Linked DNA regions of Coturnix japonica. The protein of the gene in region 3 purifies or fractionates together with the protein of the main gene of each other region. This does not show direct contact. Links are inferred from orthologs where the notes say so. Each region holds a gene or a part of one and is shown on either strand. Other genes may lie near its edges.

Evidence for each region.
Region 1: the proteins of IQCB1 (region 3) and EXOC1 purify together in Homo sapiens (affinity purification with mass spectrometry; 3 studies listed by BioGRID and IntAct, counting the BioPlex papers as one, with this or other methods). This does not show direct contact. The link is inferred for Coturnix japonica from reciprocal best matches to the Homo sapiens genes IQCB1 and EXOC1.
Region 2: the proteins of IQCB1 (region 3) and CEP290 purify together in Homo sapiens (co-immunoprecipitation; 8 studies listed by BioGRID and IntAct, counting the BioPlex papers as one, with this or other methods). This does not show direct contact. The link is inferred for Coturnix japonica from reciprocal best matches to the Homo sapiens genes IQCB1 and CEP290.

What each region holds. Positions count from the first base shown.
Region 1 is NC_029519.1:58,587,676-58,590,887, forward strand, and holds part of EXOC1 (exocyst complex component 1), read right to left. Parts: coding exon 3,104-3,212; intron 1,937-3,103; coding exon 1,753-1,936; intron 136-1,752; coding exon 1-135.
Region 2 is NC_029516.1:38,944,762-38,948,418, reverse strand, and holds part of CEP290 (centrosomal protein of 290 kDa), read left to right. Parts: intron 1-651; coding exon 652-857; intron 858-2,669; coding exon 2,670-2,821; intron 2,822-3,540; coding exon 3,541-3,652; intron 3,653-3,657. UniProt on the Homo sapiens protein: Involved in early and late steps in cilia formation. Its association with CCP110 is required for inhibition of primary cilia formation by CCP110.
Region 3 is NC_029522.1:20,672,058-20,675,714, forward strand, and holds part of IQCB1 (IQ calmodulin-binding motif-containing protein 1), read left to right. Parts: intron 1-982; coding exon 983-1,092; intron 1,093-3,657. UniProt on the Homo sapiens protein: Involved in ciliogenesis. The function in an early step in cilia formation depends on its association with CEP290/NPHP6.

The DNA.
Region 1 (3,212 bases), on a different chromosome or scaffold from region 3:
TCAGTTTGGCTTCTTTTTTCTCAGCTTCAAGACAAGAAATTTTCAACCGAGAAAGTGTTGCAAAAATATGATGGAAATTCTCCATCATCACCACATCTCTGGGTGTTTTCTGGCTTTCATTAGCTACTTTTTCAACTAAAAGATAAGGGAAACAAAATATTTAGAACTCCTAAAGGGCAACCAAATTCGGAAGAAAACATAACTGATGAAAAGAAAAAAGTAAGGGATTCTATCACAGTGATAACCATGTGTATGAACGATAATCATAACAGTCACTAAATAAATATTCGAGGGCTTTCAAAAGAAGCATCAGATACATGCAGGCTTTTACTTTTAACCCTCCCAAGTAAAACAGAGCAGGTGTAAGAAATTCTACTTATTGACCCCCTACTGCATCTGCATGCATGCAGGCCAAGGAGACGATGGTTAGAATGCAGATTAATGCAGAATTAATCTAAGAATGCAATTAAACCTCTATGCCCGCTCATCCATCATTTCATTGAGACTATGAAGTAGGAAAACCACCATGAAAAATATTTATGAAGCATACTCCTGGGCACCAAGGTACGAGTCAATATCATCAATTCATTTCAGTTAGATCACTGAAGCACCAATCCCCATCATAATTACTTGTTGAAGCTCATGCTGTACTAGTCAATTATTTTTTTTTCTAAGTTCAACTGAAATCCTTTTAAATTTCTTTTAAAACGTACTTTCCTGAATTCTTCCTACAGTAGTACTTCTATCAATGTATGGTTTGACTGTTAGCGTCTGCCTGGTTTCATCACTTGAACAATCAATTCTAAAGTACTGAATAGTTGGACGCAATCAATGTTGTTAAAATTCACTGCCCTACTAACTTCTACTGACTCTTTATGAACTGTAGTCCACTATATTGTGAAATGATGCATCTTCACAACCTCCTAATGTTCAGAACTCCTGTGCTAGTTTCCTCAAACAAGCTTTATTGCCAGAACTCTTCCCTCTTCCTCAACCTCCCTCAGGGAAAAAGGCAAGTCTCAGTGATTGGGAAGTACTACAGGTCGAGCTGTTTCAAAGGATGTACATAAATCAACATGGAGAGGCCTCTCTGTTGTTTAAAAGGTTATGACCATTTTTCTGGCATTTCACTTCTTTTACTTCACCTTCATCTATTTCTTTTTTGTTAATAACAAGGAGAACAAGACTGTTCTGGTTTTCCAGATCAGAGCTGGAAAAACAGGAAGGGATGGGAGAGGCATTCTACTATGTCAGGAGGACCTCATCTGCTATGATATGGTCAAATTCATAGCCAGAACACAAGGCTACATTAGAACTGAATGAGACAACACAGCACTGAGAAGCTGTACAGCATTAGAATGAAATGACAGGGATTCCATCCTGTCTCATCTCCTCATTTAAGCCAGACTGGTGCAGAAAAGCCAGAAAACCACTTGAGACTTTGGCCTGTAGTGTTGCAGTTCTCTCCCCCCTCCTTCCTGTATCCTTAACCACTTCCCCTGTCATAACCGAAAGTTACTTTGTATATATGTGTTAAGGGAAATATCTACAGTTTGCTTTTAAATATTTCATTTTATCAAAATGTTTCAACTTGCTTCTATAAATTAGGTTGTTTTTTTTTTAACATCAGTGCAATGTTGGTCATGTGGTTTACAATATAGAGTCTTAAAAAAAAAAACATTATCAATTAAACAGAGCAGAATACACCTACACAGGAGGAATTAATAAGTATTACGAAATGGGAAGACCTACCGCTGATAAAAACAGCTCTAATAAGTTTTATATATGCTTTGTCCAGATCTCCTCGTCGTTCTGCATTTTTGAAAATTGATTCAGCAAGGGCTGCAAACTCTTCAAATTCAGCAACAAATGGAAGGATCCCGACTTTACTTTTCTTTGAGATTTTTACTTCATCCATCTGCTTCATTTGATTGCTCTTGAATTGAAACACAGAAGTTATTCTCTACAATACAGTTCCAGACCATAACTAGTAATAACCATAACTAGTAATAGAAAAAAAGTAAACATACTGAAAAAGTAACATGCGTCTAATCAGGGAGATCATTTTATCTTTTAATTATTGTATCTTCACAAATTTGTTAACAGTAAAAACTGTGAAGAAAGAAAGGCAAGTAAAATCTTCAAGACTGAAGTTTATAATCTTCAAGTTTTTATCTTCCTCTGCTTGCTTATTTAGCATTAAGAAAAAAAAATACCACAAACAATGAATCCACAACTTATTCACCAGAAGCAATTAACAAATTATATTTAAGACTTCCATTCCACAACTTCACTTTTCAGCATCAACCCAGCAAATGATTCATTTGGCCACAGAAAGCTTCTTTAATCTCCTGTTGAAATTTTGTTTTTAAGAATAAGCTAAAAAATAATAACTTCCAAGTATCTCAAGCATTCCTCTGACAATGAATGATCAGTGTTACCAAAGTGGCCTGGAGTCAAATGACACTTACAACAATAATAGCAAAAGCAACAGTCACACAAACAAGTATTTGTACTAAGGCTGCCTTATTAAGAATAGCAAACTTTCTCCGTGGCAGAAACTGGCAAATATGTTGGTAGTAGGAGAGAAGTCTTAATGTTTCACAAAAATCTGCGTTTTGTTTAATGATAAAAATACCTGAATGCAAGGAATAAATGTCTATTCAGTATATTACAAAGATTCTGATTTTCCCTTAAGTCTGTGAGGTTGTTTTGGATTGTTTTGGAATGTAAAAAAAAAAAAAAAAAAAAAGTCAGAGCACTATTGATTTTACTTGATTGACTTCAGTAAAAGTTTAAAACAATTACAAAAGTCAGCCAGCTCACATAACTGAAATGTTGAGGACAAGAGGTTGTACGTCCTATGGATAGCTCATCCTTCAGGTAAACTGGGATGGAAAGGGAAGAGGGAAACAACTGCCAATTACTATTTTTTAATAAATATTTTTTAATAAAAAAAGTTTGTCCAATGTAACTGTAGTGCAGACACTCATTTTTGCTTCAAATTAAAACAAAAAGTCTTAAAATCCTAAAATCAAATTGAATAGGTGCAGGCTTCCTAAAGTAATAGAGTTATCTTAAACAGAAAAACTAAAGAACTTACAATGCATTTATCAAAGTTCCTTTTGACAGTCACCAAAACATTTCCGAGTGTTGTGCTGAGAAAGGAAGCTGGGTCCACATTTTGTGCAGTCCAGACGTGATGGCTCATC
Region 2 (3,657 bases), on a different chromosome or scaffold from region 3:
CAAAATGTTTTGTTGTTTTTTTTTGTTTTTTTTTTTCCAGCATCTGGGGCTTCCTTGTTTACATTTTACTTTCATTCTCATTATTCAAGAAGAACTCATCCAGTTATTTTTCTTTTAAAGATTTTTAATTAAATTTCCTGAAGATTTGCCAGCTGAAAGAAGACAGAGTAAACACTGAAAGTAGTTATTAGTTTCTCTAACCATAGTTGCAGATACACCCATTTAAGATCGATAATAACATTTTATCCTGATCCGATTTTTTTAAGATGTAATAGGGTAATACTTTTTAGATAGCTGTGCCTTCAGCTTAAGAAGCAATATAGAATCATAGAATGGATTGGGTTGGAAGGGACCTCAAGGATCATCAAATTCCATCCCTCTTACCACAGTCAGGGTTGCCAACTGCTAGATAATTACAAGACCAGCCTGCCCAGGGCCCCACCCAACCTGGCCTTAAACACTCCCAGGGATGGGCAGTGTGTTCCAGCACCTTATCACTCACTCAGTAAATCATTTCCCCAGCATCTAATCTGATGTACATTTAGGTAAAGTTTCTATAACAAGGATAAAGAAAGACTCCTTCAAGGTGTAAATAATTTTCATTGTTGAATCAGCCTACGTATTCTGTAATGTAAATATTTTTGAATATAGGAGATGACAATACCATGGACAAGGCAACAAAAGCAATTACCAACAGTGACATTTCATCAATTTCTAAGAAAATTGCCATGTTGGAAATTAAGGAACTAAATGAAAGACAGAGAGCAGAACATTCCCAAAGTATGTATGAACATTTAAGGAATACTTTAAAGCAAGTAGAAGAACGCAATTTTGAACTGGAAACAAAGTTTGCTGAGGTAAGATTTAACACATGATTTAACACATTAGAAACATCCTTGAGTTTTTTGTAAAGTATTTGTCAGTTATGTGTCATTATGACTGACAAATGTATGATGCAAAATATAGATGCCTTTTATGAGTTGTAAATTTGTATGACTGGGCATGTGTTTAAAAAAAATATGACTGTTTATTTCAAATAACATTTGTTCTCCATAAAGCACATGATGAGTAACTTGACATAGTTTTCTAGTTCATCAGCAGATTCCTAGGAAGAAGCCTGTTATTTCAATTGTTAGACCTTTGTAAGAGAGTGTCATGATTCTTTTGCAGGCTGTGTTCTTATGTCACATACCAAGATTACAATTTTCTGTAATACAGGAATAGAAGGCATGAGCTGTTGAACTGATGATCTTTGTAATTATTCTTCGTATCAGTTTTAATCTTGGTGGATTTTTGTCCCCAGTATTTGTATTTGAAATTTGTTTTATAAATTCACTATTTAATAGGAGAGTTTATTCAGTTTTTTAAATTCTAGTTTTTCTGATATTTTTAGAGCCTCTTTTGACAGAATAATTTCTTCTATTTCATTAATAGCTCAGGCATTATTTTGGGTAATTAATGAAATTTGAGCAATCACTTTGAGAATAGGAAATCTTCACATTCTAAACTCATAAATCTATTTCAGTGTAAGTTTGTTTTCTTACCCTTTTCACAGTTCCCATAAGAACCTCTGAGTAGTTTGATATTTTTTCAGAGTACTGCCTCAAATATATGAAATCCAGACAATAAGATACACCTAACGGTTTTGTTTGTTTAGGAAATTAACTATTTTCTTAATTATAGAATCACCAAGGATGGAAGAGATCTCCATGATCACCTAGTCCAACTGTCCACCTACCACCAGTATTTTCCCACTAAACCATGTCCCTCGGTACAACATCTAAACATTTCTTGAACACTTCCAGGGATGGTGGTTCAACTACCTCCCTGGGCAGCCTGTTCCAGTGCTTGACCACTCTTTCAGAGAGAAATTTTTTGTAATATCCAACTTGAACCTCCCCTTGGTGCAACTTGAGGCCAATCCCTCTCGTCTTATTGCTAGTTATGCTGGAGAAGAAGCAGATCACCACCATGCCACAATTTCCTTTCAGGTAGTTGTAGAGAGTGATAAGGTCTCCGCTGAGCCTCCTCCTCTCCAGACAGAATAGTCCCAGTTCCATCAGCCTCTCTTTTTAAGACTTGTGCTTATTATTTTGTTAATGAGTTGTATCAAATTCATCTGTCATAACTTTATTTGGTAAATTAATTCCTAAGGCTCTGTATGTCTCATAATGCTTTTCATGTGTCCCATCTTTTCCTAATGCTCTTTGATGTGATGCACTGTTTACTCAATATGTAACAATCAGGTTGCTTGATAAAGGTGTTTTTAAAAAAGAACAAAACAAGTATGGTATTAGGAATCTGCGCCATATACTAAATATATAAGTAAAGCAGTTCATTTCTTAAAGAGTTTACAGTTTTACTATTTTTTTCTTTTTTTAGTTTAAAAGCAAGATCTTTGCTGGAATGATTTTATGAAAATTAACTAGCTAATAGGGTTTAATTTAGAAATCTGTTCCATGCTGATCTGTATATCTCTTCCTAAATGCATGCAGTGCTGTGAACAAAAATATGTTTAAGTGGGGAGAAAATAAGTACTTTTTAATTACGGCTGAACAGCGTTTTGTAATGACTTCAAAAGAAGTTACTTCGGGCACTTTGTCTTCTTTGCAGGTTTGGGATCAGTTGTGTGCTTACAATATCATTCTCTTTTCTGATCCTTTTTTAAGCTCACCAAAATCAATCTCGAGGCACAAAAAGTGGAACAGGAATTAAGAGATGAACTGTCAAAAAGTGTAAGTAAGGCAGTGAGCGATGCAGACAGACAACAAATCATGGACCTAGAGAAGCGTGAGATGGAGCTCAAGACTGAAGTATCAAAGTAAGTGATGACGTAACAAATTCATAATGAAGTAGGAATACTTGCATGTAACACTTCAAGTGTTTGATTTTTTTTGACATTTCTGTACGCTAAATTTAGAGTAGAAATTAAGTATTTAATTCAGTTTTTTGTTTCATTGTGATTTGAACAAGGAATTAAATGCTGGCCTGGTCAGATAATCATAAGCATGTCCTAAAATATTCATTTCTAGCCTTTTAAAAAAAAAAAAAATGAAAGTTTTCTTCTGTTTCTATACCACAACCACCCCTAACAAATAATGTAATCCTGTTATATTCCTAAATATAGCTATGGATGTGTGCAGTGATTTTGGTGCTGAAAATGGGGCATTAGACCTGGGGAAGCAGAGAATAGAACAGAGAATGAATTCTGTTGCACATTTATGTCTTGAGCTGGGAGAGAGATAGAGAAGGAGAGAGGTACTTACTTCTAGGAAAAAGCATGACTTTGTTTTCCTTGAGAAGATAAGTGGTAGAAAACTTACAAGAAAAATCCACCATAAAAGGTGAGAAGCAATAGAAAATACTTTTTCTAACAAGACTGCTGAGCAGTAGAGTGCTAAAAATGAAAAAAAAACAACAAATTCTTCAAATTTTTTTTATGAGGGGACAAAATAAGCATCTTCTCATGTTCTGTGTAGGAAAACCTAACAAGTTATTAGGTGGTTTGAAACAACACAATGCTCTTGCTTTTCCTGTAAGGTTGAGAGAACTGTCTGACATTGCAAAAATGCAAGTTGAAGCTCTAGAGGCACGCCAGCAATGCAGAGAGAAAGAAGTGGAATCTCTTAAAATGCAAGTTTTAGACTATCAGGTACA
Region 3 (3,657 bases):
TGATTTTGTAAATTTCCAATTCATTCTATTATTTTTTTTTTCTTTCTTTCATTTTTGAGATCTCAAGGAATTCCAGGTACTGAGGAATGGAAATTGGGAATGGATTGAGAAACTGACTGTGTTGTCACAATGTGGTGTGAAACTTTATACAGTCATAAGGAAAAAGATCTTTTTAGCTGATAGCTGTAAAACAAAAATAGCTGTTAGCTGTAAAACAAAAATAATTGCATCTGCTCGTTTTGCATCAGTGTTATAAATGTAGATTTCTGGATTCTTGGGAACATTCAGATAGAATTAAGAGTCGTGTAGCGAAAATGTTCAGTGAGAACATTGTCTGTACTGTGTTTCCAATAAAAAGAGCAAATGTGTGTTTTATGAGCTTACCAAAGTTTTATATGCAGGGTTTTCAGTGTGATTAGTTCAAAGGAAATCAGAGTCATGTTTACAGAGTCCTGCTTTCACCTTAAACACAGCAGGGTGTTTTGTGTGTTTTGCTTGCCTTAGAAAAAGCACCATTTGAGAATATATATATATATATATTTATCATATTTGTTGCATTTTCTGATCATGGTGGAAATGTAAATATTTCCTACAGTTTTTCTCCAGACTTGCCTTTCCATTCTCTCTAGTGAAGGTATTTTGACTGAATTGGCACTTGTAATACCAAGTGCTTCAGATACTTTCAATTTTAAAATTTCCTATACCAGTTATGTGGTTAATATGTATCTGTGCTGTGGATTCATTTGTTTGCTAAAGAGAGCATTGATGCAGGTTAGCTGCCTTTGGAGTAAATACAAGTTTTGTGATAATAATTGTCTAAGACCTTAACTGCCCCCTCGCTGTTATAAACACTGTGCATTTCAGAGCATTGGAGAACTGCTAAGGTTTGACCAAATGCTGAGATGGTTCCAAATATGCAAACAGTAATAACCTGTTTTTATATGCAAAGAAAATATTCTGCTAACTGTTTTATGCATTTCAGAGACAGCACCAGGCAGCTTGTGTAATTCAGGCAATGTGGAAGGGATTTCAGACAAGAAAAAGACTGAAAAAACTTCCTCAAGCAGTGGCAGCTTTGCAGAGGAGCTTCAGGTAAACAGCACTGCTTTGTTAAAAGTGCTAGAGAATGGTGTGATAGGACTTGTTTGTGTTTAGTTTGGTGTTTCTCACGTCACAGAATTTCAAGAAAAATTAGGTCATATAAATCACTGCTAAATGCAGGGCCAACAGGATCTGGCTGCTCAGGGCTGTATGCAGTGATGGAGATCTCCAAGGATGCAGACCCTCCATCTCACTCAGTCCCTGTCTTGGGGCTGCGTGATTCACATTCCATTAGAATTCTTCCATTAGATTTAGCAGGAATGTTCCTTGTTGCAGCTCTTTTCCACTAACTCTTGTCCTTTTTCAGTGCACCTGGAAGAATGTGGCTGGATTTTCTCTACAGATGATAGCAAAAGACAGAGATTAGATTCCCTGAACTTATACCATATGCTCTGTACCATTATCTCTTCAGTTAGTCAATGTCTGTCTGGGGTGACCCAGTAAAGTCTGGGCAGTATTACAGGTGTGCCCTCCAGAGTGCTTGAGTAAAGCTGTGTAAATAATTTTCTTTGACCCGTTGTCTTTGCTTTTGCAAGTGCAGCATACTATGCAGCTAGGCTTTGTTACTGCAAGGACACACTGCTGGCTTGTGTTCAGTTTGTAATCCACCACGATCCCCAGGTTCTTTTCAGTGGAGCTGCTGTCCAGGTAATCAGGGCCCAACCTGTATGATTCATGAGGTTATTCAGTCCCAAGTGCAGGACGTCCCATTTGAATTTAATGTGGTTTGTACTGACCCATTTTCTGTGTCTGTGGAGTTTCCTTTGAGTGCCAGCCCTGCCCTGCAGTGCATGGGAGACTGATGACAGCCCTGCTAAAGTTCAAGTAAATGACACCCGGTGCTCTCTCCTCATCCACAGAGCCAGTCATCACAGAAGACCATCAAGCTGGTCACACATAATTTGTCTGTGATAAACCTTACATGGCTGTTCCTATTTGCTTCCTGTGCTTGGAAATGTGTAGCTTTCCTAAGAGTTTGTTCCTGTGTCCCAGGGAATGTTCTTGGGATAACCCAGAGATCCTTCATCTGAAAGATGCCTTTTTCCTGTCAGCTGTATTTTCTCAAACACAGAAGTAATGTAATGCCAATATGAGCTGTTTCATTGCAGATTCTTTTAGCAAAAACATCCAAACAATGTGCTTTTCCAGCAGTACCAAATTGCCATTTCTGGTGCCAAAAGCTCCAACTGTCCCTTTCCCAGCTGCCAAAATTCTTCTCCATGAAAAAAAAGCCCTTAGTTCTGTGATGCCTCTGTGTAAAAATGTATAGCATATGGAAAACTGGAAGTGTGGGACTGTAGCATTGGATTGCACTAAACAGCATTAGAGGATGATGTACTGGTGGCAGAACAGTTAACTGCTTCACAGTTAACTCTTCAAATATTCCACCATAAAGTAAATACGTCCTGAAGTTCTGATAGGATCAGGTGGAGCAGGATAAAGCAGAAAGGAGAGGGTGGCCAGGCTGCAGGCAATCAGCCAGCTGCTTTACTTTCTTGTGTCATGTTCTCAGTATTACAAGCATTAGCACATGCATCTTAAATAAGCAGTTCTTGAATCACTCAAGCTGAGTTTTAAATGTGCTTGTTTAACACTGAGAAGAATAGAAATGTATTAATATTTTTAGTCATATGATCATGGTCCAGTCAGTCCCAGTGTACTGAGTACGATACAGTGACCATGCAGCTCCAGCAGTGGGTTTTTTTCTTTCTGGGTTAAAACTGCACTTACAGTTTTGCCAAAAAATCAAAATAATCTTTGGAATATTGTGAGCGTTATTTTAGAGAAGTTTTTAAGTGGCCTTTTGGCTTTTTAATAGTCAGGGTTTGGTTATACTCTTGGATTTATTTTAGAACAAATGTGGTTCTGTACTGTTGAGGCTGAAACTCCAAATGTGGCTCACCTGCAGCTGCAATGGAAGTTCTTAAACTCTACAAGTTACAGACTTCTGAAACTCTGTGGTTTCACAAATGTCTCGTCGGTGATATTAAAGCTTGCAGTCTTTCCATAAAGTTAGTTCACTTTTATGTAACTAACTGTAGAACTGTTAAAGCGGCAATAATTTGCATTAATCATTTATCACGTGAGTGTGTGAGAATGCAGATGTACATGTGGGCTATCAGGAGGTGGTTAATCCATGCTATGAAGAAAGCTTGGATCTTTGTGTGTGTTGTACTTTTGTTAGCGTGGTCTTGTACAAACAAATGTGGTTTATTATAGGGAGAAATGGAGAAGGAAGAAGAATGTGTGTTTTACAGACTACTTGGGAAGTAAACATTTACATAGTTGCCTAACACTATTGTCAGATTCACAGATGCATATCTGAGATGCTCATAAAACATTTTTGTTGTTTTCCACATAGTGGAGCTCATAAAAGTTTCTAGTATTGATAGTTTTATTAGGGAAATGTCATCAAAAGTCCTGCTTCACCCTGTGACATCATTCAGCTTAGAAGTTCTGTATGTGCCTTCTTGGATTAAAAATGCAAAAGTTTGGAGCTCTCATTTACACAAATGTGTGGGCTGAAAAACTTGAGCCCATTCTGTTGTTATTGTA